Linked DNA regions of Mus musculus. The protein of the gene in region 4 purifies or fractionates together with the protein of the main gene of each other region. This does not show direct contact. Links are inferred from orthologs where the notes say so. Each region holds a gene or a part of one and is shown on either strand. Other genes may lie near its edges.

Region 1 (3,500 bases), on a different chromosome or scaffold from region 4:
GGGTTACACAGTGAGACCTTGTCTCAAAAAGCAAACCAAAGTAGTTCCAGGACAGCCAGGGCTACACAGAGATACCCTGTCTCATGGAGAAAAAAATAATGGGGCAATGGTGGCCACACCTTTAATCTCAGCAGTTAGGAGACAGAAGCAGGTGGATCTCTGTGGGTTCCAAGCCAGTCTGGTAGGACAGACAAGCCTACACAAAGAAACCCTGAATTAAAATACATAAATAAATTCAACAAAATAAGCCAACAAAGTAACCAAAAAGATCCTTTCTCGCCTTGTGGTGCTGGAGATCGGTCTCCCAGATGCTATGTAGGCACTCACTACAATGCCACCTCAAGGTCCTTCCTCAGTGCGCCTCAGCTTTCCTAGTGCCCAGACCCTTTAACAGAGCTCACATTGTGCTAACTTCCAGCCATGGAATTATTTCATTGCTACTGTCATGAATAGTAATGTAAGCATCTGATATGCAAATCCCCTGGGAGCATGAGCCACAGGTTGTGAACTGTTGCCCCAGAGTGTTCTACCTCAGACCACTTATGCTCATGTGCACCCCATCAACCGCTTGGTCCCCTTATAACCTCTCTTCCTCAGACCTACAAACAAAATCCTCCTGAAACGACGGCAAGTTTACCAAGCACCGCTCCCCGTGCTAAATTAGTTTTAAACTGCTCTGGAGCAGAGAAGGAAAGATGCAAAACCTACTCCACAATCATAAACTCAGAGAGCTGAGCCAAGGCTGGAGCAGGGGTCCTCCCAGTCAGCCGACTGCAGCGCGCAGAGTGCACAGGGCGGGCGGCTGCCGTCCGCGCACACTCACCAGGTCCCAGAAGTTTTCATGCTTGCTTGGGTTGTCACCGCCCAGGACATCTGCCGACAAACTGTCCACCTCGCACACGTGCAGTCGGACCCAGTCAAGAAGGTGAAGGAGGAGAGGGCCAGCTGAGGAGAGACTCATGTCACACAAAAGAGCTCAGCTTCATCTGCGGCATCTCCACTCCACCCAAGTACAGACACGGACGTGGATTTATAGCAGAGGACCTGACTGGACAGAGGGCTATTTATTCCCTGCAACTAGGAAGGACAGAGGACGACAGGAACCCTGTGATGCTAAGACAGAGTTAGCCTGGGCTAAGTGAGGCTACATGAAACAAACAAATTGGGGTTACCTGGTGCTACTTCAATAAAGAGAATCTCACACAGGTTCCAAATGAGCTCCATGGCTGACAAAATGGAGACCTAGGGAAGAAACGGAGACTAGTTTTAACTGAAACTATTACTGAAACTCGAATGCAAAGCAACAGACAGCAAGAGAGATGGCTTCACAGTCAATAGACTCTGCTGTGCACACATCAGGAGCAGAGTTTGGATCATAGCACACAGATAACAAGCTGGAGACCTGAGCACATCTGAGGCCTCAGCTACAAAGGGAACAGAAAGGAGGGTCACTGCAGCTTGCTGGTGTCCAGCATAGCCAAAATAACACAACTCCCAGGATCAAGAAGAAAGAGAATGAGCAGAGAGAGTGGACATTCAACATCTTCTTCTGTCCTCCACATGCATGCACAGGTACGCTTGTACATACATACACACAATAAAAACTGTTTTAAAAAGGTGACATGTCAGCCGAGGGCATAGCTCAGCAACAGTGTGCATACTTAGCACACCTACAACACTGGAACCAAGACCAGGCACTGCAACAACCGAAAAAGCAAAGCCCAACCTAAGATGCTTTAGGAAGATGAACGTCCCCCACCCCACCCCACCCCCCTCCATCACCCCTTGTTCCAGGGGGAGAGCATACTGTGCCCATCAGAGAAAGCCTATTTTCCCTGTTCATGAGTTAGAAAAGCTCTGGGGTCTCACTGAGGAAAGAGTCCTAGATGTCGCCTTCTAGTCCTGCTGAGTTATAACCACATGCTGCTTGACAACAATTCTGAGTTCATGAGACCAAGCAGTAGTCCTAGAAGCTCGGTTCTCCATCTCAAGTGACAACTCACAAACACCATGTGTTAGGACTCATCTTTTCCACAAGCAATGAAAACCCTGAGTTCCCATGGGCTAAAACCTTGACCAACACTTTCAAAGCCATACTTGCCATCCCAAAGAGCTGCTGATCTACCTGAAAAGGAGAGCCCTCCTGCAACAGGGACCACAAAGCCACCACCCTACGCACTAACACGATGTTGCCAATACAATGAAAGCAGCTACACCTTACCTGGCTGCTGAACTGCCGGCCACTGGCTGGATCTTTAGCAGCAACTAGCAGAATACAAAACACCTTAAGTCAATCAACCTGCACTGAATGTAGCTCATCTCCTAAGCCCTCAGAAGCCCCATACGGTTTTTGCCTTGGTTTCTTTTACCACCCACCCATTTTCATGTGAAACGCTTATGGATCACACATTAAAACAAGGACCTATTATGAACTGCACAGCAGCCTCCTTAAAGGCCTCTGGAGAAAACAGCACCAGATAACGTACTTCAAACACACACAGGGTCCTTACTTGCAACCTGATGCATTTCTTCCATACAGGCCCGTATGACTGAACGGTAATTTTTACTCACTCGAACCAATCTACAAAAAAAATGAAATGACATACAAGATGACATGGAACCGTATCTTGATGCTAGAAAGAGAGAAATCAAAAGACAGGAGACGGGCTGCAACATCAATTCCAGGAGCTCTGAGTGCTCTGGCCTCCAGTACATATAAACTCATGTGGTCACACCATACCACACAACAAACAAACAGCTTTGTCACAGTGGTTTTAAAGTGCGTACTACTGTTGGAAAGGACCAGAGTTCAGTACCCAGCACCCTTATCAGATGGCTCACAACTGGCTGCAATTCTGGTTCTAAGAAACCCAATGTCATCTTCTGATTCCCACAGGTACCTGCACCAATATGCACCTACACATACATGGTTAAAATAAGTCTGGACTGCAAAGACGGCTCAGGTTAAAAGCACTACTGTTGTAATCAAGCCTGTGGCGTATTTTCTCAGTTGATAACTGATATGGGAGGTGCCATCCGAAGCTGGCGGTCCTGGCTGCTGTAAGAAAGCAGACCGAGGGGCTGCAGAGATGGCTCAGTGGTTAAGAGCTCTGACTGTTTTTCCAGAGGTCCTGAGTTCAATTCCCAGCATCCACGTGGTGGCTCAAAACCATCTGTAATGGGATCTGATGCACTCTTCTGGTGTGTCTGAAGAAATAAATCTTTTTAAAAAAAAAACAAGAAAGAAAGAAAGCAGACTGAGCAAGCCACGACAGTATGGCAGTGTGCAGGGCTCCTCCACGGCTTCTGCATCAATTTCTGCTAAAATTCAGTGCTCGATGCTCCAAGCACTGAATTACCACAAGCCTGGTAATCGTGTCTGTAACCCTGAGCTTGAGAAGTAGAGGCAAGAGGACCAGAAACTCAAGGATACACACGTATTTGAGCACATACATAGCCTGGGCTACACAAGTCAGCAGAGTGCATGCCAGGTGTATGAA
Region 2 (3,500 bases), on a different chromosome or scaffold from region 4:
ACCTTAAGACTACATCTTTTTTTTTTTTTTTTTTTTAAGATTTATTTATTTATTTTATGTATGTGAGTACATTGTTGCTGTCTTTGGACACACTAGAAGAGGGCATCGGATCTCATTACAGTTGGTCGTGAGCCACCATGTGGTTGCCGGGAAGTGAACTCAGGACCTTTGGAAGATCAGCCAGTGTTCTTAACCACTGAGCCATCGCTCCAACCCCCATCTTTTTTATATTGTCTTTTGATTTAAATTTGTTGTTTCCTCACCATTCAGTGTCTAAGTACATTCTGTAGATTTTAAGTTCAGTCTGTAAAGTCTTTGCCGTACAAGCAGAAAGACCCTAGCACCCATGAGGAAATGCCAGCTATAGTTGTGCATGCTGTGGTCGCAGTGATGAGGAGACAGAGACGGCTTGCTAGTCAGCCTACCCTAATTCGTGGTTTCCAGGCCAGTGAGAAACACTGCATTCCTGAGAATGACAAGCAAGATTATCCTGTAGGCATACACACATACACATCACCACTCAGATGAACACAGACACGGGTAAAAAATGGAAGGCTTAGCTCACAATATTGTTCTTTCTTTCTGTGTCTCTGCTGAGAGTCAAACCTAAGGCCTGCATGTATTAGGTAAGCCCTTTACCACTGAACTACATCCCCTAACCCCTTTCAAGTGTTAAAAATGACATGGAAAATTATGTGTACATATTCTACATAGCACAATTTGTTGTGATACATTATGGATTATGAGTTTCTTTTTGAATTATTTAAAAGAAAATAACTGAAAGGTTTGTACTTGCAGGGGTATCTGTCTTTCCTGGTGCCATCTTCCTTAGTAGATCATTTATATCTCCTGCCCGATGAGCACCTTTTGACAGAGGATGAGACGACCATATCAGATGGTAATAATTTTTCTATCTAATTGACCCCCTTCCTATATGAACCTTATATTTTATTTCAGTTGATTGATAAAATTACCACTGTGACCTGTCTTGATGAGTTTACCTTAGTCACTGAAGTTTTTTTTTTTTTTTTTTTAAGCTGGAAAGTCTTAAGTACATATGCTATAGAAAAGGGATCCTTTCTATCTAATTACAGATGCTTCTTTTAATGTATTAATCAATAGACTTTCACGGTTTCAGCCATCGATGTTAACATTCTCTCTCATAGATGCAGATGTGGCACGGGACGTCTTATGTCTTATAAAATGCCTCCGGATGATTGGAGAGTCTGTTACCATGGACATGGCAGTTTTGATGGAAACCAGTTGTTACAACTTGCAATCTCCAGAGAAGGCTGCGGAACACATTTTGGAAGATTTGATCACTATTGATGTGTAAGGAGAATTTAGGGTAAAGTACATTTCCTACTGGAATTTGGCAGTGTTGTTATCACAGATTTTAATATATGGTCAAGTATATAAAAAGTCATGGTTTAATGTTAAAGTAATTTTCCTTGATTCTAAATAGGGTTGGGTGTGTGTGTGTGTGTGTGTGTGTGTGTGTATGCTCAGTCCTGTGGAAGAGTCTGACCTTGTACATTCTAGGCAAGTGTTCTACTCTGAAGCCCCTGTTTCAGATGTTACAGAGGGCAAATAAAAACAAATTCATTAAGTATAATACTTCTGTAATCCCTTAAATAAGCATTATGTTTAAAAAAAAAAAAAACACAAGTATTTTCCTAGAATTCATTTTGTGGGTCATTCCTAAAAAGTTGAGAGTGATTTAATGTGGACTCTGAGTGTCTTGTGCCAGAATGATTATCTCCACTACTTTACTGTGAGCAGCACACATAGAGCCTGTCTTAAATGTTGTCAGTAGTAACAGGAATTTTCTAATTGTCATGTAGAGAAAATGTGATGGAAGACATTTGTAGTAAACTGCAAGAGATCAGAAACCCCGTCCATGCCATTGGACTTCTTATACGGGAAATGGATTATGAAACAGAAGTGGAAATGGAAAAGGGGTTCGATCCAGGTAACCAAGGAAACAACAAGTGTGCTTACAGAACTCAGTGATGTGGGCTCGGAGGCTAAGAGGATGGACTGTTCTTCCAGAGGGGCTGAGTCCACTTCCCAACACCCACATCAGGTGACGCACAGCCAGCCCCAGAGGAGTCTGACATCCCTGGTCTGTGCCACCTGCACTCATGTGCACATACCCACATACAGACACACACACATATAGTTAGAACTAACAAAGCCAGGCATAGTGGCCACGCCTTTAATCCCAGCACTCAGACAGAGGGGGGCAGATCTCTGAGTTCCAGACCAGCCTGGTCTGCAGCATAAATTCCAGGCCAGCCAGGACTACACCTAGAAGATCCCTGTCTTTAAAAAAAAAAAAAAAAAAAACAGAATTAAATGATACATTTAATTCCAGTTTTCCTTCTAAATTTATTACATTTATTTATTTTATTTTATGTACATATATGCACACATGCTATGGTACATAGACAAAGCTCAGAGGACAACATGTAGGGGTCAGCTTTTCCCTACCACATGGGTCCTGCGTTAATTCAGTTTATCAGGGTTGGCGGCAGGTTCCTTTACCCACTGAGCCATCTTGCCAGCATTTAACTCCATTTTTTCTTATTAACAGCTCAGCCTTTGAACGTTCGAATGAATCTTTCCCAGCTCTATGGTAGTAGCACAGCAGGATATATTGTGTGTCGAGGTGTGTATAAAATTGCCAGCACTCGATTCCTGATCTGCCGAGACCTCTTGATCTTGCAGCAGCTATTAACAAGGCTAGGAGATGCAGTAAGTACTACTTGAGGGAAAACTCACTCATAAACTCTCAAACTGCATACTCTAGAGACTTGTCTGTATTCACTGCTTCCCCTGAGCTGAGCCTAAGCAGGGCTCTGCAATACCAGCTGAGAGGAGTAGTGGCAGTTCCTTTTCTCAGAAGCAGCTTACAGAAGGCAGGCTTTGTCCTGACTTGCTGTGTGGAGGTGTAGTCTACTGTGACTTGAGGAGTGAGGTGACTGGTCGGTCACATGGCGCCCACAGTCAGGAAACAGAGGGAAAGCTGCCTCTCAGCTCACATTATGTGTGCAGTTGAGATTTAAGGAAAACATTTTAAATAGAGATTATAAATGTGGGCAGTAGATAAAGAGAGATGCTTAGAAAGAAAGATAGCCAAGAGTGTGGTATGGGGTTTTCTAAGAGAGGGCTGCTAGTTATCACTTTGTTCCTTTTATTCGGTGTTCAACCCAGCCAATGGAATGGTCCCAGCTACAGTCAAGATGGACCACCCCTCTTCAGTTAAATCTTGCTTTTATTTTCTTTAGTTTAACCTTTTTATAAACCCAAAGGTATATTTCCTTGATTCTAAATCTCAAGCTGACAAAATTAATCATCATATAAATAGAAATAAACATAATAGAATGCACTTGGACTGTCTGTGAAGCAGATTACTGTTACTAATCAGAAAACAGAAAACATATAGTAGCCAGATACACAAATGTTCCTAGCCTGAAGAAAAGTCAAAGGCCTGTAAA
Region 3 (3,500 bases), on a different chromosome or scaffold from region 4:
TGAGTTTGATCTCCAACACACCCACAGAGTGAGAGGGGGTTGCTCAGATTTATTCCTTTGAAAATGAGCAGTCAAGGCTATGAAACCTAGAGCTAGATTTTCTGAGGTTTTTCGTTTGTTATTTTATGTACATGGGTGTTTTGGTTGCATGTATATTTGTATACACTTGTGTGCCTGGTGTCTTAGGGGACCGGGAGATGGTATCAGACCCTCTAGAACTAGGTTGCAAATTGTTGGGAGCCACCATGTCTGTGCTGGGAATTGATCCAGGATTCTCTATACAAAGCAGCACATCCTCTTAACCACTGAGCCATCTTTCTAGCCCTAGATTTTTCTATTTTAAAACTTCAATTCTAGATAGTACTCACAACTTTGTGATATTACACAAAATTTTTTTTTTTGATCTGGTTTTCCTGTTACAGGTTAAGAGGTAGTAATTACATCCTATCTCACACAGCTGCTATAAGGATTTATTAAATCATCTGGTGTAATGTCAGATCCTTAATAAAAATTAACTGCTGTCATCACCTTTTCTATTGCCAAAGACTAAGGTATTTTTTTCTCCGTTATCAGATTTAGCTTCCTGAGCAAACCTGTTGATGAGAACAATCAGCAGGATGGAGAAGATGACTCTCTTGTATCACGATTTTACACTAATCCTATTGCCAAACCCATTCCACAAACTCCAGAGAGTGTTGGAAACAAAAATAACAGTAGCAGCAATGTGGAAGATACCATTGTTGCCTTGAACATGCGTGCTGCTTTGCGCAATGGATTGGAAGGAAGCAGTGAAGAGACGTCATTCCATGATGAGTCATTGCAAGATGACCGAGAAGAGATAGAAAATAATGCTTACCACATACACCCAGCAGGTCAGATTCACATACTTTTTTATATCTTTGAAACAGTTTTTAATTACAGCAATGTGGTCAAAAGAGTCCACTTCTTATAGCCTAAGAGACTGTCCTATCTTCCTAACTTTGTAAATTCAAGTGGATTGTTTATTAGTAAGACCTTACCATAGTGTATTCTATGGAGACTTACCATGTTATGGGTATTCCTTTTAAGAAGAGGACTCTATGGTAAATAAAATCTACAAATCTTAGGTTAAGCAAAGTTTAGTAGACTATATTACATTTAAAATGTTTTTGTTTTTCTGTTTGTGGGAATAGAGTCTGGGTCTTGCTCATGCTTTCTTCAAACTTGCAGTGACCCTTCTGCCTCTGCACCCCAAGTTCTGCGTTGAGTATGTGGAGGCAAGTTGCTCAGAAGCTCAGGGTCTTGGCTTTGTTTTAACTACAACGCCATACTGACACATAAGACCCTGTCTCATATTGTTATATGAAAATAAAATTAATAGAACTGGTAACTGTTCTACTCAAGTATAATCACAATATTTTTTGACTTTTGGTCATAGGCATTGTTCTCACAAAAGTTGGTTATTACACTATCCCATCTATGGATGACCTTGCTAAAATTACCAACGAGAAGGGAGAATGCATTGTTTCTGACTTCACCATTGGTCGTAAAGGTAAGTGTGAGTTTAAAAGTCATATAACTTAGAGATTGGACCTTGCCTATGTTATTAAGGGCAACTCTAGGTTTTAGAGTCTGGTTTTTTGTTCTTGTTGGGTTTTTTTTTCCCCCCTGTATTTGGTTCTTTCCTGACTTAGACTAATAGAAACATTGACAAGTAATAAAGCAAGGAAGACTAAAACCATGTAGAATTTGGGGGCTTAGACATACCTGTTTGAGTCTGGTAATTATGTTTCCCATAATTCTCCATAATTAAACTTGAAGATATACTAAGTTTTTAATACAGTGATCAATTTTATATTAAATTGTTATGGGTAATTTTCTTTAAATAAACTTACTCTGTGAAGTAGTCTTTTGAATGGGCTCAAGTATTTTAGTTTATGTAGCAGACGAGGAACCAAGTTGTTCATACACTGGCACTGGAGATACTGGGGAAGATTTGAAGACACCAGAAATGTAAAGTGGAGATGTTATATCTGATAACTATATAATGCCATTCCTCGGTCCCCACTCTTGCCATCTTTAGGAGACAGAAAGCTACTCCAAGAATTTCTGGAAGGTTTAAAATACTGATATTAAAGGTTGCATGTTCTCCCTTCCTAATTACTACAGATTAAAGGAGATTTTTGCTCCTTTATGAAGGATCTTTTTTAACCATTTGCTCTGAATTTTAGGATATGGCTCAATCTATTTTGAAGGAGATGTGAATTTGACAAATCTAAATTTGGATGATATTGTGCATATCCGAAGGAAAGAAGTTATTGTCTATGTAGATGATAACCAAAAGCCACCTGTGGGTGAAGGGCTAAATAGGTATGAATTTATTTATATACAGAAATTGGAGTTTTTTCCTGAAAACACAGTCTTTCTATAAACTTTTATTGTTTGTCTACTCTTATTTGAAAGTATAAATGGTAATGATGCTCTGTGACTTTAGGACTCATACCTTTCCCTAATGGTAATGTGTTCACATGCTATTTTCAGGAACTTTCAACAATGGAAGTTTGCCTTTGCTTAATTTTGCTTTTCAGAGGTAGAGATTAAACTAGGGCCTCATACATGTTGAAAATCACTCTGCCAGTGAGCACCAACTCCAGAAAGTTTTCTTGTTTTGTTGTATTTCTTCTTGTTCTGCCACTGGTACACTCAACTATTTAAATGTGAGACTAACGTTTATTTTGTTTTGTAGGCATTCTGTTGCCATATATTGCTTGGATATGGTGGGAGGTTAGATAGCTCGCACTGTAACCGGTGTGGTGTTGAACCCTAACTTAGCTTTGATTCACGGCATTCCTGCTTCACCTCCCCTGTGCTGTAGTAACACTCCTGTACTGCTACATCCATCTTCCTCTGGATAAGATGTGTGATTGGTAAAAGTCACATTTGCAGAACTCCAGTAAACAGCTTGTTTGAGGGCTGGGAATAGGGGTGAAGGCTGGAGAGCTGGCTCAGAACACTTGCTGCTCTTGGCAGAGGCCTGTGTTTGGGTTCCCAGCAACTCACAACTGTTTGTAGCGCTGGTTCTAGGGAATTCTATTCTGTCTTGTGGCTTTCATAAACATGAGCACACACATAGAGTACATACATATATGCATATATGCAAAATACCCGACACTAAAACAATCTCTAAAAATGACATTTTTACATCTTTGGTCATGGTTGCATTTAATTCTTTTTTTTTCTTTTTTTTTTTTTCTTTTTTTTTTTTTTATGTATAAGTACACTGTTTTCAGACACATCAGAAGAGGACAATTGGATCCTGGTACAGATGGTTGTGAGCCACCATGTGGTTGCTGGGAATTGAACTCAGGACCTCTAGAAGATCAGACAGTGCTCGTAATCATTGAACTATCTCTCCAGACCTACATTTAATTCTTTTCTGCAGAAAGTATTCATTTATGGGTAGATGGATAAAGTGTAGCATGTATATATGAGGAATTATTATTATTCAGTCTTACAAATGA
Region 4 (3,500 bases):
ACACCATGCTTTCTGGCCTATTTCATACCTAAGGTCCAAGGACCAGAAAGCACAGGAACTAGATATCTAGGCCAGTCTTTAAAACTCACTGAGTTCTGGGGACCCACAGTGCTTGTCAGCCTCAGGCTTCTGTAGCCAGGTGGCTGGTCAAAGTACCCCTATGCTTCTGTCCCCAACCTGGGTCTTAGTTGTAGAAACCAGTGCCACCTCTGCTTTGGGCTGAGAAGGTGGCTCCAGCAAGTCTAACCTATAACCCTTCCTAGCCACTGCTCAGCCAGGACACCCACTCTCTTCCTAGGAGCACAGAAGACTTTAATACAGCAATTGCTCTCTCTTTCATGCAAAAGGCAGGGGCTGGACTCACCGTGTGAGCATTGTTAATCTTCTTCACTTCCCACTGGCCTTCCCCTGTATAGGTCAGCAGTGAGATGGCCCCATCTGAACTCCCACAGGCCAGGATCAGGCCATAGTCATGAGGGGCCCAGCAAACAGAGTTCACTGTGGAAAGGAGGTACAGTGAGAAGGTTTTCATCCTATATCTACTACTGCGCTAAAAACCACAGGAACTGCCAGCAGTCTTTTGACATTTGGCCAAATGAGGACAAATGAACACCTAACAGCATTTGTCTGTCTTCACAAAGCAAGGAGGAGAGGCACCCTGAGATTCAAGGCTGAGCTTGGAAAGCCTCACTGTTCTTACTAAACTTCTTTCTCTGGTCAGTCTTGGGGACTGACCTCTGCTGTGGATAGACCAGTGAAAAAGCCAACAAATGTCCAAAGGATGGACAACAACAAGAGAAGGGTCTGGGATGCGAGCAGAGCCGGGGCTTTTCCCACCCATAAGACCTTCCTACGCACTCGCCAACTCTACATACCTGAGGAGTCGTGTCCCGAGTGCTCATGGGTCTTCTCCCAAGTGCCGTTTTCCTCCTTCCAGATGATGACTTTCCGGTCATAGGAACAGGAGGCCAGGATATTGCCATACATGGGGTGGGCCCAGGCCACTTGCCATACTGGCCCCTCATGTCTGTAAGGGAGGGAGTCAGGCTGCTCAGAGGGTCAGGGGACACACAGTACCAGTTCCCTCTGGAGAGACAACACAATGTTCCCATTGTCTTTGTTTTTTGAGGCAGGGCCTTCTACTGTAGCTCAGGTTAGCCTTGAGCTTGTGATCCTGCCAGATGTGCCACCACACTTAAATTTGGTTTGTGTTCTACTAGGTTTAGAATGAGAACTCTGCATCTTGAAATGACTTACTTAACATTATATTGCCTCTTTGCCAAAACCAAGTAACAAGTAGCAGGTCTAAAAACATGTAATTTCAAAGTCATAATGAGCACAAACGATATTCTCAGACAACTACACGTAAGATGAAAACTTTTCTTGGTGACATAGTGACAGGTCTACAGTCATTACTGGAGTTTCCAGCCTACATCCAAAATAGAAGGAAATGGTAAACTCAGAGTCATGTAAATAAATGTGATTGTCTTCTCTGTCCCAGTTTGCCAAACTTGTCACCCTATTCACGGAATTTTAGCAGACCCAGGTACCCAGGTAAGGAACCTATACTATGTCAAAACCTCTGAAGGAAAACAGAGATATGACCTTGAAAATGAGCCAAGACCCCAAGGGCTAGAGGGTGAGAGAAAAGCAAACATCTTTTAAATAATCCCTGGCCATCTATCTGCTATGGGCAAACAGAACAAGAGGATGTGTAAAGTTTGTCTTATGGGCCCAGCGAGATGGCCTAGTGGGTAAAGCCCTTGCTGTGTCTGCCAGAGTTCAATCCCTGGAAGCCATGGAAAGGTAGAAGGAGAAAACTCCACAAAATTGTCTTTAGGTGAAATGCATAAATGTGTGCAGGTTGGTACTGTAGTGCTCATTGCTTCTGAACATGGCAGTGTTGCCCACATCAAAGATACTGAGGATGGGCCCTGGATAGAGTCAGGATTATCCCATCTGAGGTTAAGCAGGGGAGGGCTTCAAGAGACAAAGTGCCTCACTTCCCAGGTCTCCTGGTGATAGAACTGGGGATCATACTTGAATGTATCTGTGGCCTTACCTGCACCTCTGCTAAGGGCTCACTGCTAAATGTACTCTGAGATTGCAGGGAATCTGTACTCTCCCCTTTCCTCCCAGGCCTGAGGATCCAGCTACCCTGTGGCCTTCTCCATGTGTGTTTACACTTACCCTCTGAGGTCTGCGATGAGGATCTGCCCTCCATTCCGCACATCGAAAATTTTGACGGACCTATCCGAGGAGCAGGTTGCTAGGCGGGTGCCGTAGTAGTCCATCTGTGCATCATGCTGCAAGGAGAGGACAGCTAGGGAAGCCTGCAGGACGCGTGGCTAACCCCCAAGCCAGGGCCTAGTGTAGACCTGAATCAGGCTTCAGGGATAGTCAGCTGTCACCTGAAGCATTCACAACCTCTCAAAGGATGTGCGGTATGGACCCTAACGTCACTTTGTCACCTCTCAACTCAAGGAAAATGATTCTTCTGGAAGGTCACCTTCCCACTGGGTCAGGCCCCGCTCTCCTGGTAAGTAGGCTTGCAAGCCCATTTAAAAACCCTTTTTGGGCTGGACTGATAGCTCAGTGGTTAAGAGCACTGACTGCTCTTCCAGAGGTCCTCAGTTCAATTCCCAGCAACCACATGGTGGCTCATAACCATCTGATACCCATCTAATGAGATCTGATACCCTCTTCTGGTGTGTCTGAAGACAGCTATAGTGTACTCATATATAATAAATAACTAAATCTTAAAAAAAAAAGATTTTTTTCCAGCAGAGTACTATCCTACTGGTTAGAAAGGCATAGTATCTAAGAAGGAAATTCTATCTCCTTAGCTTACCTGTTATACAACCTTTAGAAAATTTGCTTATTTCTTTAACCTTCAGTTTCCATATCTTAAGAAGGATCTACGGAGCACAATGGCTTCACGGGTCCTTGAAGGGTGTGATGACAAGTTTAGAGTGCACCCACATGTCTCTTAACTACTGTAATGCCTCATCTGATCCTCAGGAGGAAACCAAGGTGGGTGACTGGCAGGGATGCCTAGACTGGATCTTACTGCCTCTGGGTCCATGCCGGTTCCAGCCAAGTGGTCTCACAGCTAGACCACTCACCGCCAAACCCAGCAAGATGCACAGGTTTTCACCAGAACCCCAAAGCAAGTGCCGGTGGTCAGCTGTGGAGGCCAGGGGCCTCACAGGAAAGACAGGCCACCAGGCCTGGGCCCTGCTCAGAGGCTGCCTGCATTGTTGGGCTCCAGGAAGCAGGCTGAGTTTTTCAGTTAGAGACTTCAACCTCTGGACCTTCCCTAACAGCTCGACTCTGTGCCCTGTGTTGGCTATCAAGAAACGCCCAAGAGGCCCAAGGGCCTGGTGTGGATGACTCTCTGGGGTAGCCTCTGCCCTACGCTTTCACTGTGGCTGCCAGACTTCTAACTCTCCCTCCCTAACTCCCTTTCAATAGAGCTAAGAAATAGCCTTAGGAGAAAG
Region 5 (3,500 bases), on a different chromosome or scaffold from region 4:
GGTTGACTTTCGAAAGGAGGAAACGAGCCTTAAAAGTAAAAATAAATAAATAAATAAATAAATAGTGCTGATCAAACACAGACTTAGTAAGATAAGCTACAGACAATATACCATTTAAACCCAACTTAACTGAATATTTTGGTAATTTTGTTAAAATGTAATACTTACAAAGTTAAATTTTAAAATGCATCAACCGAAAAAAATGCATTAACCACAATACAAATAATATACTCTTCCAACATTACATATTTGTAGCATTCATAAGATAATAGACTACTGAATCCCAAACTCAACAGATAAAAAGTTGTATGTACAGGACTAGAGAGATGGCTCAGCAGGTAAGAGCATGACTGCTCTTCCAGAAGAGCTGGGTTGGTTGGATTCCCAGAACCCACTGGTGACACACAACTATCTGTAACTATCTTTAACCTAGGGCATCTGACTCCCTCTCCTGACTTCTTCCAGTGCTGCATGCTTGTGTTATACGGACATCAATGCAGGCAAAGCACCCAAACACATGAAATAAAAATAAGACTGCAAATGTTTATTTGTTAACACAAACCTTATTTTAAAATGAATGTGAAAATACAGTTTTATCAACTACTCTGAAACAAAAGAAGTCTAAAGCCTCGTAAAAATGATTTTAATCCACAGGTGATAACTTAGGCAACATTTATCCATCCTCTACAACAGCTAATCAATCAATAAATAAATGAGTAATTAGATAAGGAAAATAACAATACACATTAAGATATTGATGAATGAATTCATCAAAAATCTTAATTCATTCTAGAAGAACAAAAGCAATTTAATCTTTTGAAAAATGTTTTTCTATTCCCTAAGTAGCTCTAGTCCTAGAATAAGAAGCCTGGAATTCAATTAACTCCTACTTAGGATTGGCAAGCTTACAAATGTAATCTCAGTATCTAGGAGACTGAGGCAGAAAGAATGTTCAAGGTCCACCTGAGCTATGTAGCTAAGACACTATCTCTTTAAAAAAAAAAAAAAAAAACCTAGCTCCACTCAATGTGCTTCCTTGATAGTACATATAACAAGTCTTAACTCTATTATATATAAAGTAGAGATAATAATAGAATTGGTATGAGGCTCAAATGAAGGAGGCATGGAAAATGCTTGCAAAGTCTCCGTACATGATAGACAGCTCCTGTTATAAACACAGTAAAACTAATAATCACCACTGTACATAAAGTCGGTGCTGATCCATCACTGTGTCAGAGAGAGAGACACAACACTAAACAAACTATCTCCCTGCTTTACTTATGGAAGAAGTAAAATGTGTGACAACTCACACTAGGAGTACTGTTCCAGCTCTGCTCAGAAAGGTTTCCTGAGGTGTGCTAAGCAGCCCTGGCCTGACCACATGTGCACGACTCCTTTGAGCTCTAAGAACCATAAAACCCATTTGAATACCACAATGCTTTCTTGAACCTGACAGTTACTTTCTATAAAACTGAAACAAATTAGAACCCTCATAGGCTTTAATTTAAGAAAAGCACACTAAATTGTCTTGCAAGCTGCCCTTGTATCTTTGCTAACCCACAGCTGGCACACTGTCTGGATGGCATTATGGCGATTACAACAGCTATGATGGAAGCAGAATTAGAAAAAACTGGCTGTTTGGGCAACTAGGCAATAACTGTATTGCTTTGTTCCCTCCCATCTGCCTCCTTCCCTTGCCCTTGGCCTTGAGTGGCAGATAGCTCCTAATACAATCAGAACACAAGCAGGATCACCTCACGGCAGCCCTGCATACACAACACAGGGTGTTCCTCACCTGGCTGCCACCATGCTCCGTGTCAATGTATCTCGGCATTGGAAATCTGGAGTGAAGAATCTCTTGTGCATCATCTACTGGGGCTTGCAGAAGGTGCCGGAAATTCTCATATTCTGGCATGTCCTGGTATCCTGACTTCCGCCACTGTGCTATAGTCTAATTTTAAAATAATTAAAGGAATTATTTTAAATTTCTTGGTAACCTAAAATTCTTGAGTAGATTTTTCTTCGAAGGAAGTTTTATCTTCTTTCTTTGGTTTTTTTTTTTTTTTTTTTTTTTTTTTTTTTTTTTTTTGGTTTTTCGAGACAGGGTTTCTCTGTATAGCCCTGGCTGTCCTGGAACTCACTCTGTAAACCAGGCTGGCCTCGAACTCAGAAATCCACCTGCCTCTGCTTCCAAGTGCTAGGATTAAAGGAGTGTGCCACTACTGTCTGGCAACAAATAATAATTTTTTAAAAATGAGACAGTGTTTGATCATATAGCCATGGCTGGCCTGGAACCTGCTATGTAGATCAGACTGGCCTCAAACTCACAGAGATCTGCCTTCCAAGTGCTAGATCAAAGACATGCATCGCCATGCCCAGTAAATAAATCCTTGTAAAAGCACTGGATAGTTCTATTTAAAAGGATACTAGAAGGTCAGGTGTGGTGGCTCACACCAGTAATCCCAGCACAGAAGGTTGAGGTAGAAGTATTCTGAATATAAGAGAAGGCTGGGCTATCATATCAGCGTCTCAACACTCAGCCATCCTCACCAATAAGTGAAATCTAAAGTTACAAATAAGGTAACTAGAGAAATGAGGCCATCTAAGATGCACTATACTACACGAGAAGCTCGAGCACAGGAAAAATGAATGTGCCGTGCAAACTGCTCCGAGTGGTGTTTTCATCCACAGAGCGTGCTGAGGCACTGGCTGAATGAATACACGCAGGGGCAGACCTCTGCCAAACACCCACATGGAAGCCCAGAAGCTACCCACACTACTCTTCAACCACGCATCACCTCAATAACTTATACACTTCTACTCATGCTGTCAATGCACTTTTAGGTATATGAAGCACATAGAAAAATCTTCATGTTACATAGAGTAATGAAGAGCAAGTTTACCCACTGACAAAGGCTGACTCCTGCCCTTCGTCTCTGCGTCCCTGTTTATGTTTTCATAGTACTATGCTGTGTGCAAATCTATTCACCCACTAGTGTGTAAACAAAACAACAAAATCAACACAAGGATCAGTATGATTGACACCTAAAACCCTATACCATGAAGAATCACACTGTGTGTGTGTCTGTGTGTGAGTGTGTGTGTGTGTATGTATGTATGTATGTATGTATGTATGTATGTATGTATACCCGTTGAGTATTTTCTACCTAAATCCTTGAGAGTACAAGTGCTATGGATTTCAGGCACTTTCATGTATTTATATGTATATGTAATGTATATGTATAAATTCTTTTTTTTTTACTTTTTTAAAAATATTTTAATTAGGTATTTTCCTCATTTACATTTCCAATGCTATCCCAAAAGTTCCCCATACCCTCCCCCCCACTCCCCTACCCACCCACTCCCACTTTTTGGCCCTGGCATTCCCCTGTACTGGGGCATATAAAGTTTGCAAGTCCAATGGGCCTCTCTTTCCAGTGATGGCCGACTAGGCCATCTTTTGGTACATATGCAGCTAAAGACATGAGCTCTGGGGTACT
Region 6 (3,500 bases), on a different chromosome or scaffold from region 4:
GGAGACTAGGACAAAGACAGAACTCGAGGCCAGCCTGGTCTACAAATCAAGTCCAGGACATCCAGGGCTCTGTTATACACAGAATCCTTGTTTCTGAAAACAAAACAAAACAAAACAAAACAAAACAACAAAAAACAAAAGAACAAACAACAACAAATCAATCCCTAGCCAGGCGTTGGTGGCACACACCTTTAATTCTAGTATTCTGGAGGCAGAGGCAGGTGGATCTTCGAGGTCAAGGCTAGCCTGGTCTACAGAAAGAGTTCTAGGACAGGCATAGAAAAGCCCTGTTTAAAAAGAAGAGGGGAAAAAAAGGTAGGAAGGAAGGAAAAAAGAAAAAGAAAAGAAAAGAAGGAGAAAGAGAAAGAAAGAAGAATCATGTATGAAAAGAAATGAGGTTTTTTTTTTTCTCCCCCCAAGATTCCAGAAATCTCTCAATGTTAAAAAAACAGTGCAGGCAGATGTTCTCAAGACAACAGCAAGCAGGACACGTCCTGTTTCAGCAGGACTGTAGTAGCAGTTGGCAGGCTTAGGCCATTTCATGCTCAGCACTTCTGGTTAACTCTCCCTACCCAGCTAAATGCTAATGTTTTGGGGGCAGACATCCTGAAGAACACTACAAGCTAGAGATCTGTGCTGTTGTATTATTCAAGATGGTTTTTAAATTAGTCAGGATTTGCCGCAACGGCCTGACTGCTTTCTATTTCTCCTACCAGCCTTATGGCTGAAATGGCAGTTAAGAATCATTTTTTACAGCCACATGCTGTAGAGGCAAAGCCTACCTCTATGTAGTATTTTCAAGTGATGTGACATTGAAAGGCATTTGTTGAGACCCTTCATCTGAAAAATGAAATGGCAATATTTACCCCCAGAGTAAATGACAAACATGGCAGTTTAACTGGGCCCATAGATATAGCTGTTATCCTATTTCCCTTTTTATCTGGGTCTAACAACTACTTCATTACACTGACAGGTACTTTTTTTTTTTTTTTTGTAAATTTTTACCTTATGTACATTGGTGTTTTGTCTGCAGGTATCTCTGTATGAGGGTGTCAAATCTCCTGGAACTGGAGTTAGACCCATAATGTGGGTACTGGGAATTGAACCTGGATCCTCTGGATGAACAGCCAGTGTGCTCTTGACCATTGAGCCATCTCTCTAGCCCCATGGTGATGGGTATTAACTAAAGAAAATACTGGTGGTTAGAGATACTTTTTATAGAGTCTTATCATAACAAGGCAGGATGACACACACCCATAATCTCCATACTTGATGAGGCTGAGGCAGAAAGATGGAGTATTCAGGGCCAATTTAGGCATTAAGATTCTTCCTCAAAAACAGACGCACATGCCAGGCAGTGGTGGTGCATGCCTTTAATGCCAGCACTTGGGAGGCAGTGGCAGGCCTGGTCTACAGAGTGAGTTCCAGGACAGCCAGGGCTACACAGAGAAACCCTGTCTTGAAAAACCAAAACAAACAAACAAACAAGCAAAACCAGATGTACACACACCCATACCAGAGGCTTGGAGAGACTGTTAAAGCACTTGCAGCACCCATGTCAGGTGGCTCACAACCATTGGAACTCTAGCTCTGGGGCATCTGATGCCCTTTAGACTCCAAGGGTACCCACTTGTACATGATGCCCATAAAATTCATGGAGGCACACATAAACAAAAAGCCTGCATAATGAAATAATTCAGATATATGTCTAAGTTTAAACATGTGATAATTATTCATATACCTCAACTTAAAACACTTATAAAGACTAGTTTAAATATTCTTATATTATTTACTTTTTAGAAACTTTTAAGCCAGAAGATAGTGGTGTATCCCTTTAATCCTAGCACCTGGGAGGCAGAGGCAGGTGGACCTGTGGGTTCAAAGCTGGTCTGCTCTATAGGGCAAGTTTCAGGACAGCTAAGACTACATAAACAAACTCTGTCTTGAGAAGAAAAAAAAAAAAGAAAAAAAGACAGACAAACACATACATACACTCAAGTACATTTGTGTACACACACACACACACACACACACACACACACAAACATACACATACACACCCCACGTGGGTCTCAGGGACTGGAATCTGGTCCATGAGGTTGGATGGAAAGTATCTTTACTTATTGAACCAGCTTGCTGTCTGTCTGTCTGTCTCTCTCTCTCAAAGTAATTTTGGTTTTGGAGAAAACATCTCATATAGTTCCAAATAGCCTAAAACTCTGTATGTAGGCAAGGATGGTCTTAATCTCGTGGCTTTGTGTATATTAGGTAATCATCAGACCAACTGAGCTACATCCCCTACCCTTGTTTGGGTGAGACAGGGTCTCACCAGGAGGCCAGCCTTGAACTCCACTTCCCCACTGCTGGCATTACAGCCACGTGCTATCTCACCAGGCTAAGTTAACACCACACAGCCATTCATTAAATCCCCTCTCCCCTCATTGGAAGTCACCCTGAAATCTGTATCAGTAGCATACTCATTTTCTATAATTATTGATGATTTTTTTAAAGATATATTTATTTATTTTATGTATATAAGTACCCTGTTGCTTCAGACACACCAGAAGAGGGCATCAGATCCCATTACAGATGGTTGTGAGCCATCATGTGGTTGCTGGGAATTGAACTCAGGACCTTTGAAAGAGCAGTCAGTGCTCTTAACCTCTGAGCCATTTCTCCAGTCCCCAAAATTCTTTTTTGTTTTTGTTTCTGTTTTCGAGACAGGGTTTCTCTGTGTAGCCCTGGCTGTCCTGGAACTCACTTTGTAGACGAGGCTGGCCTCGAACTCAGAAATCCGACTGCCTCTGCCTCCCAAGTGCTGGGATTAAAGGCGTGCGCCACCACCGCCCAGCAATTATTGATGATCTGAAGGAGAAAGCCATCACATGTCTTATTCAGAGCTTACCTATTTGACTACCACATTATACAGATTCACTGGTTTACCAGACTTTTTTTTTTTTTCCTTCCTTGTTGAGTGGTTTCAGGTGGGTGTTATTCTGTAGCCCAGACTGGCCTCAAATTTATGGTGATCTTCCCACTGTCAGGACTGTTAAATGTGAGCAACTATATCTGGTTTCAAATTTCTATTTTATTTACTAAGCATTTGTTTGGAAGTTCTAACAGGGAAGACACGCCCCCCCCCAATACTTTTGACTTTTGACTGTGTGTTGGAAAAAAATCCCCATTGATTGAGCAGCCCCTTCAGAAGACACACGTGACAGTGACAGCAAGATTAACCATGGTGACCAATTGGCTGACAAATGCCATAGCTGAATCACCAACACATGCTATTTTGTCCCTTGAAATAAGAGGACTGCAAGGTTACAATGCGAATTTCACTTAGGTAGCAGTGACTTGCATTTACCTCACTAGTGAACATGGCACAGAAATAATCACTGCAGGCGGCCAGCACAATCCGATGCGCAGGGAAGTCTTTCTGCTCCACTCTCAAGGTCACATCACAGAGGGTGTTGCTCTTCCTGAGGGAGTTCATGGAGTTG
Region 7 (3,500 bases), on a different chromosome or scaffold from region 4:
ATCAGTGTTTCTGAAATTCATTAAAACGCAAAGCTGGGGGACTGGAGAGACATGGCTCAGCAGTTAGGACCCAGGTTCAATCCTAGTACCCACATGGCAATTCTATTTGCCTGTAAATCTAGTCCTAAGGCTTCAATGCCCTCTTCTGACCTCTGGGGGCACTACATTCTTGTGGTGCATAGATATACAAGCAGGCAAAACACTCATACAAATAAAAATACAGTTGACTACAATAACTAATTAAACAAGTTTTTTATCATAATACTGAGATGACAAAACTTACAGTGATAGTATCTGACAGGGTTCACTTCCTTGTTGTCTGAAATCCCATATTTTTAACTGTCCAATTGAATTTACTGTAACAATCTCAGGAGTTCGAAGGAAGGTTACGGCATGGAGTGTACTGCTGTCTGCATTATCTGCAAGTTTTAAAAATGCGTTAACAGGTTCCTTTTAATGACATTTCCAGCCAGGTGTGGCAGCACTTGCCTTCAATCGCTGTGCTCAGGAGGCAGAGGTAGGCAGGTCTCTGTGAGCATGAGACTATCCTGGTCTACAGAGTGAGTTCCAGGACACCTAGGGGTACACAGAGAAACCCTGTCTCACAAAACAAAACAAAAGTAAACCACGTCCCCCTACTGGTTGAAATATTATAAATAAATGACTAATGACTCAGCATAGTTTTTAATAAAGAAATAGTAAAATACATGTCTAAATACTCTCTTCCAGTCTCTGGTAGAAAGCTTCACTCCCAGGCCATCTGTTTTCTAAGTGCAGAGCTGATTGGCCGTTTGTTTTTTATACTGAATTCTTCCTTTTTACTTTTCTTTTCCTCCTGCCTTCAGCTTCCCTAGTGATGGAACTATAGTTATGTCTCACCCCAACAGGCACTGTGTCTGAGATAGATGTTCAAGCTCCTGTCTATCCAATCTTAGCTCTGCTAGTACTTGGCAGAAAACTTTACCCACTGACAGGCACAAAGCTTACTCTGATTCTATACTGTTGTTCAGACTCACACAGCAAAATTCTAGCCGAGCTTTTGTATCTGGCATGAATCTGCAGTGAAGGGACCTAAGCTTTGAAGTAGCCTTTTGTCAGTGGTTGTCATCTAAACTTTTATGGGGTTTGCAAAGTTTAGTCCTGAGATAGGCCAGGCAAACCAGGAAGAAACTAGGAAGTCTCCTTTAGCTAAGAACTGCTTAGGGGATGGGTCTTTCAAGACAACCCCTAGATCAAATAAGAAATTTTGGTATGCGGAAATTAACTTGCTAATGATGCCTTTTGTGTAACAATAAAAAGAGCTTGAGGGCTCAGTGCTTAAGAGCACAGACTGCTCTTCCAAAGGTCCTGAGTTCAAATCCCAGCAACCACATGGTGGCTCACAACCATCCATAATGAAATCTGACGCCCTCTTCTGGTGTGTCTGAAGACAGCTACAGTGTACTTAGATATAATAATAAATAAATCTTAAAAAAAAAAAAAAAAGAGCTTAAGGCTGGAACAGGGAGGGGGCAGAGCAGGGAGACAGAGGGAGGACCACGGTGGCAGGGGAGTCAGGTCCAGTTTGGATGGTTAGCTCAGGAGACTGTCCCAAAGCAAAAAAGGCTAGCAGACTTAGACTATACAGATGCCTGTGTCTTTATTATTCACCCCCAAGTGGGACCCCCAGGAGCCCCCAAGACAGACTCATGTCAAATCCACCCATCTTTACCTTCGTCAGCAGCTTCCTCACCTACATCCTTCCCCTTCATGGTTGCTAAAAGGGTCTCTAGGAAGCTTTGAGCCAGGACTTCACTATGTTGTTCAGGCTCACCTTGAATTTAGTATCCTCCTGCCTCATCCTCCAGACTGCTGAGATTACACAAGTATGCCCAATACCTTCCTTTTATAATGATTCTTTTCTTGAATTTCCTAAGTGTTTAGACTCGAGGCACATGATAGATACTTCCAAACTTAAACCTGTGCCACTTCTGTACATTGCTAGCAGGCCAACAGCTCTTAACAATTAAGCGAATGTTGTAACTCAGAAATTAAGCACTTAGAACAAAGAACACAAACTGATGCCTTGGTGCAGACCTGGAGATTCTGACCCAACAGGTCTAGGGTGGGGGGGCCTGGAATCTTCTCAGGCAAGTCTTAGTGAAGCATAGTAAGAGCCATCTCACTAGAACACTGGCCAAATCACGACTGGTGTCAGTCATTCCTCGTGCAAAGACGTTCAAGAGCAATCTGTTTACCACATACAGATCCCTAGCTTCTGTTGCTATGCATTCACAATACCTTTGCAATCCATCCCAATTTCCCTTTCCGGCTTCACCTGTCATCTCTCCAGTAACAAATATCTAAGGCCAGCTCACAGTAAACTTTGTCATTTGCTGTCTAGGTTTACCATCTCCATGCTATTCCCTGTCTGTCTGTCTGTCTGTCTGTCTGTCTGTCTTTCTTTTTTCTTTTTTTTTTCGAGACAGGGTTTCTCTGTGTAGCCCTGGTTGTCCTGGAACTCATTTGTAGACCAGGCTGGTCTCGAACTCAGAAATCCGCCTTCCTCTGCCTCCCAAGTGCTGGGATTAAAGGCGTGCACCACCACGCCCAGCTATTCCATGTTTTCTGTGTGTCATATATTAGTGTTATTTATGGTACAGAATCAAGAATGTACTAATTGCCACTTGTTCCCTAGTTATGTGATAATTCCTTTTAGCTAAAACCAAACACTGCCACCTACTACATCTTTCTGTTCTATTAGCAATCATTTATACCAGACTATCCGTACACTATCTTTTACAAGGATCCTGCCAAGTGTCATTTTCACACCCTTCAAGCTTTTAAGATCATGTTTACTTAGTTCAATTACTATGTAATGAATAGAAGAAATAGGACTCCTCACCTATAGTTCTGACAGCCTCCTTGTGATCAACTCTGAAGAGATTTATTCGGCCATCCTCTCCAACTGTAACAATTTCTGGGTTGTCACACACAATTCCTGTACATGGTGCACTGCTATAGGAGGGACTGCTGGGACCTGTATGGTAATGAGCTGCAGGCCACTGCTGATTGACGGACAGGGTCTAGGCATCAGAAATGAGCACTGTTAATCAGAGCAAAGTTCTAACAAAAGAGCCCTTCTCTCCAGGAATTTTTGATTTTTGAAACAGGACTTCCAAGTGTTTGGGATTATAGGTGAGCCACCATGCCTACCTAATAATAGTATTTTTCAGTTGTATTTCATGTCCTTGTAGAAGAAAGAACAAGTCTCCCCTTTCCTTTGTATTTGAGCATACTGATGTTTAGAAACTACTTCCCTTAATTTTTTTTATATTCTGAATAGACTCAGCACATTTATCTCAAACTAATGATTTTTGTTACTAAATAGCTGAATGTTGACACATTCTTTAAAGTTTTATGATTAAATTCATATGTAAGGAACTAACCTCTATATCTTTTTTACATGATTCCATTAAGAAAACTAATTAAAGCTGGTCACGGTGACATTGGGGAGCAAA

The links.
Region 1: the proteins of Sec13 (region 4) and Nup85 purify together in Homo sapiens (affinity purification with mass spectrometry; 5 studies listed by BioGRID and IntAct, counting the BioPlex papers as one, with this or other methods). This does not show direct contact. The link is inferred for Mus musculus from reciprocal best matches to the Homo sapiens genes SEC13 and NUP85.
Region 2: the proteins of Sec13 (region 4) and Nup160 purify together in Homo sapiens (affinity purification with mass spectrometry; 4 studies listed by BioGRID and IntAct, counting the BioPlex papers as one, with this or other methods). This does not show direct contact. The link is inferred for Mus musculus from reciprocal best matches to the Homo sapiens genes SEC13 and NUP160.
Region 3: the proteins of Sec13 (region 4) and Nup98 purify together in Homo sapiens (affinity purification with mass spectrometry; 4 studies listed by BioGRID and IntAct, counting the BioPlex papers as one, with this or other methods). This does not show direct contact. The link is inferred for Mus musculus from reciprocal best matches to the Homo sapiens genes SEC13 and NUP98.
Region 5: the proteins of Sec13 (region 4) and Sec23a fractionate together in Homo sapiens (co-fractionation; 3 studies listed by BioGRID and IntAct, with this or other methods). This does not show direct contact. The link is inferred for Mus musculus from reciprocal best matches to the Homo sapiens genes SEC13 and SEC23A.
Region 6: the proteins of Sec13 (region 4) and Klhl12 purify together in Homo sapiens (affinity purification with mass spectrometry; 3 studies listed by BioGRID and IntAct, with this or other methods). This does not show direct contact. The link is inferred for Mus musculus from reciprocal best matches to the Homo sapiens genes SEC13 and KLHL12.
Region 7: the proteins of Sec13 (region 4) and Nup43 purify together in Homo sapiens (affinity purification with mass spectrometry; 3 studies listed by BioGRID and IntAct, counting the BioPlex papers as one, with this or other methods). This does not show direct contact. The link is inferred for Mus musculus from reciprocal best matches to the Homo sapiens genes SEC13 and NUP43.

The regions. Positions count from the first base shown.
Region 1 is NC_000077.6:115,567,444-115,570,943, reverse strand, and holds part of Nup85 (nuclear pore complex protein Nup85), read right to left. Parts: intron 2,582-3,500; coding exon 2,511-2,581; intron 2,266-2,510; coding exon 2,222-2,265; intron 1,243-2,221; coding exon 1,173-1,242; intron 946-1,172; coding exon 824-945; intron 1-823. UniProt on the Homo sapiens protein: Essential component of the nuclear pore complex (NPC) that seems to be required for NPC assembly and maintenance. As part of the NPC Nup107-160 subcomplex plays a role in RNA export and in tethering NUP96/Nup98 and NUP153 to the nucleus.
Region 2 is NC_000068.7:90,701,215-90,704,714, forward strand, and holds part of Nup160 (nuclear pore complex protein Nup160), read left to right. Parts: intron 1-798; coding exon 799-898; intron 899-1,166; coding exon 1,167-1,332; coding exon of another isoform or gene 1,333-1,348; intron 1,349-1,844; coding exon 1,845-1,972; intron 1,973-2,596; coding exon 2,597-2,757; intron 2,758-3,500. UniProt on the Homo sapiens protein: Functions as a component of the nuclear pore complex (NPC). Involved in poly(A)+ RNA transport.
Region 3 is NC_000073.6:102,151,167-102,154,666, reverse strand, and holds part of Nup98 (nuclear pore complex protein Nup98-Nup96 isoform 1 precursor), read left to right. Parts: intron 1-573; coding exon 574-872; intron 873-1,417; coding exon 1,418-1,531; intron 1,532-2,210; coding exon 2,211-2,349; intron 2,350-3,500. UniProt on the Homo sapiens protein: Plays a role in the nuclear pore complex (NPC) assembly and/or maintenance. NUP98 and NUP96 are involved in the bidirectional transport across the NPC. May anchor NUP153 and TPR to the NPC.
Region 4 is NC_000072.6:113,734,182-113,737,681, forward strand, and holds part of Sec13 (protein SEC13 homolog), read right to left. Parts: intron 2,307-3,500; coding exon 2,191-2,306; intron 1,028-2,190; coding exon 876-1,027; intron 499-875; coding exon 365-498; intron 1-364. UniProt on the Homo sapiens protein: Functions as a component of the nuclear pore complex (NPC) and the COPII coat. At the endoplasmic reticulum, SEC13 is involved in the biogenesis of COPII-coated vesicles.
Region 5 is NC_000078.6:58,967,018-58,970,517, forward strand, and holds part of Sec23a (protein transport protein Sec23A), read right to left. Parts: intron 1,952-3,500; coding exon 1,796-1,951; intron 29-1,795; coding exon 1-28.
Region 6 is NC_000067.6:134,458,531-134,462,030, reverse strand, and holds part of Klhl12 (kelch-like protein 12), read right to left. Parts: coding exon 3,365-3,500; intron 1,184-3,364; exon of another isoform or gene 1,147-1,183; coding exon of another isoform or gene 1,006-1,146; intron 1-1,005. UniProt on the Homo sapiens protein: Substrate-specific adapter of a BCR (BTB-CUL3-RBX1) E3 ubiquitin ligase complex that acts as a negative regulator of Wnt signaling pathway and ER-Golgi transport.
Region 7 is NC_000076.6:7,670,504-7,674,003, reverse strand, and holds part of Nup43 (nucleoporin Nup43), read right to left. Parts: intron 3,066-3,500; coding exon 2,885-3,065; intron 420-2,884; coding exon 284-419; intron 1-283. UniProt on the Homo sapiens protein: Component of the Nup107-160 subcomplex of the nuclear pore complex (NPC). The Nup107-160 subcomplex is required for the assembly of a functional NPC.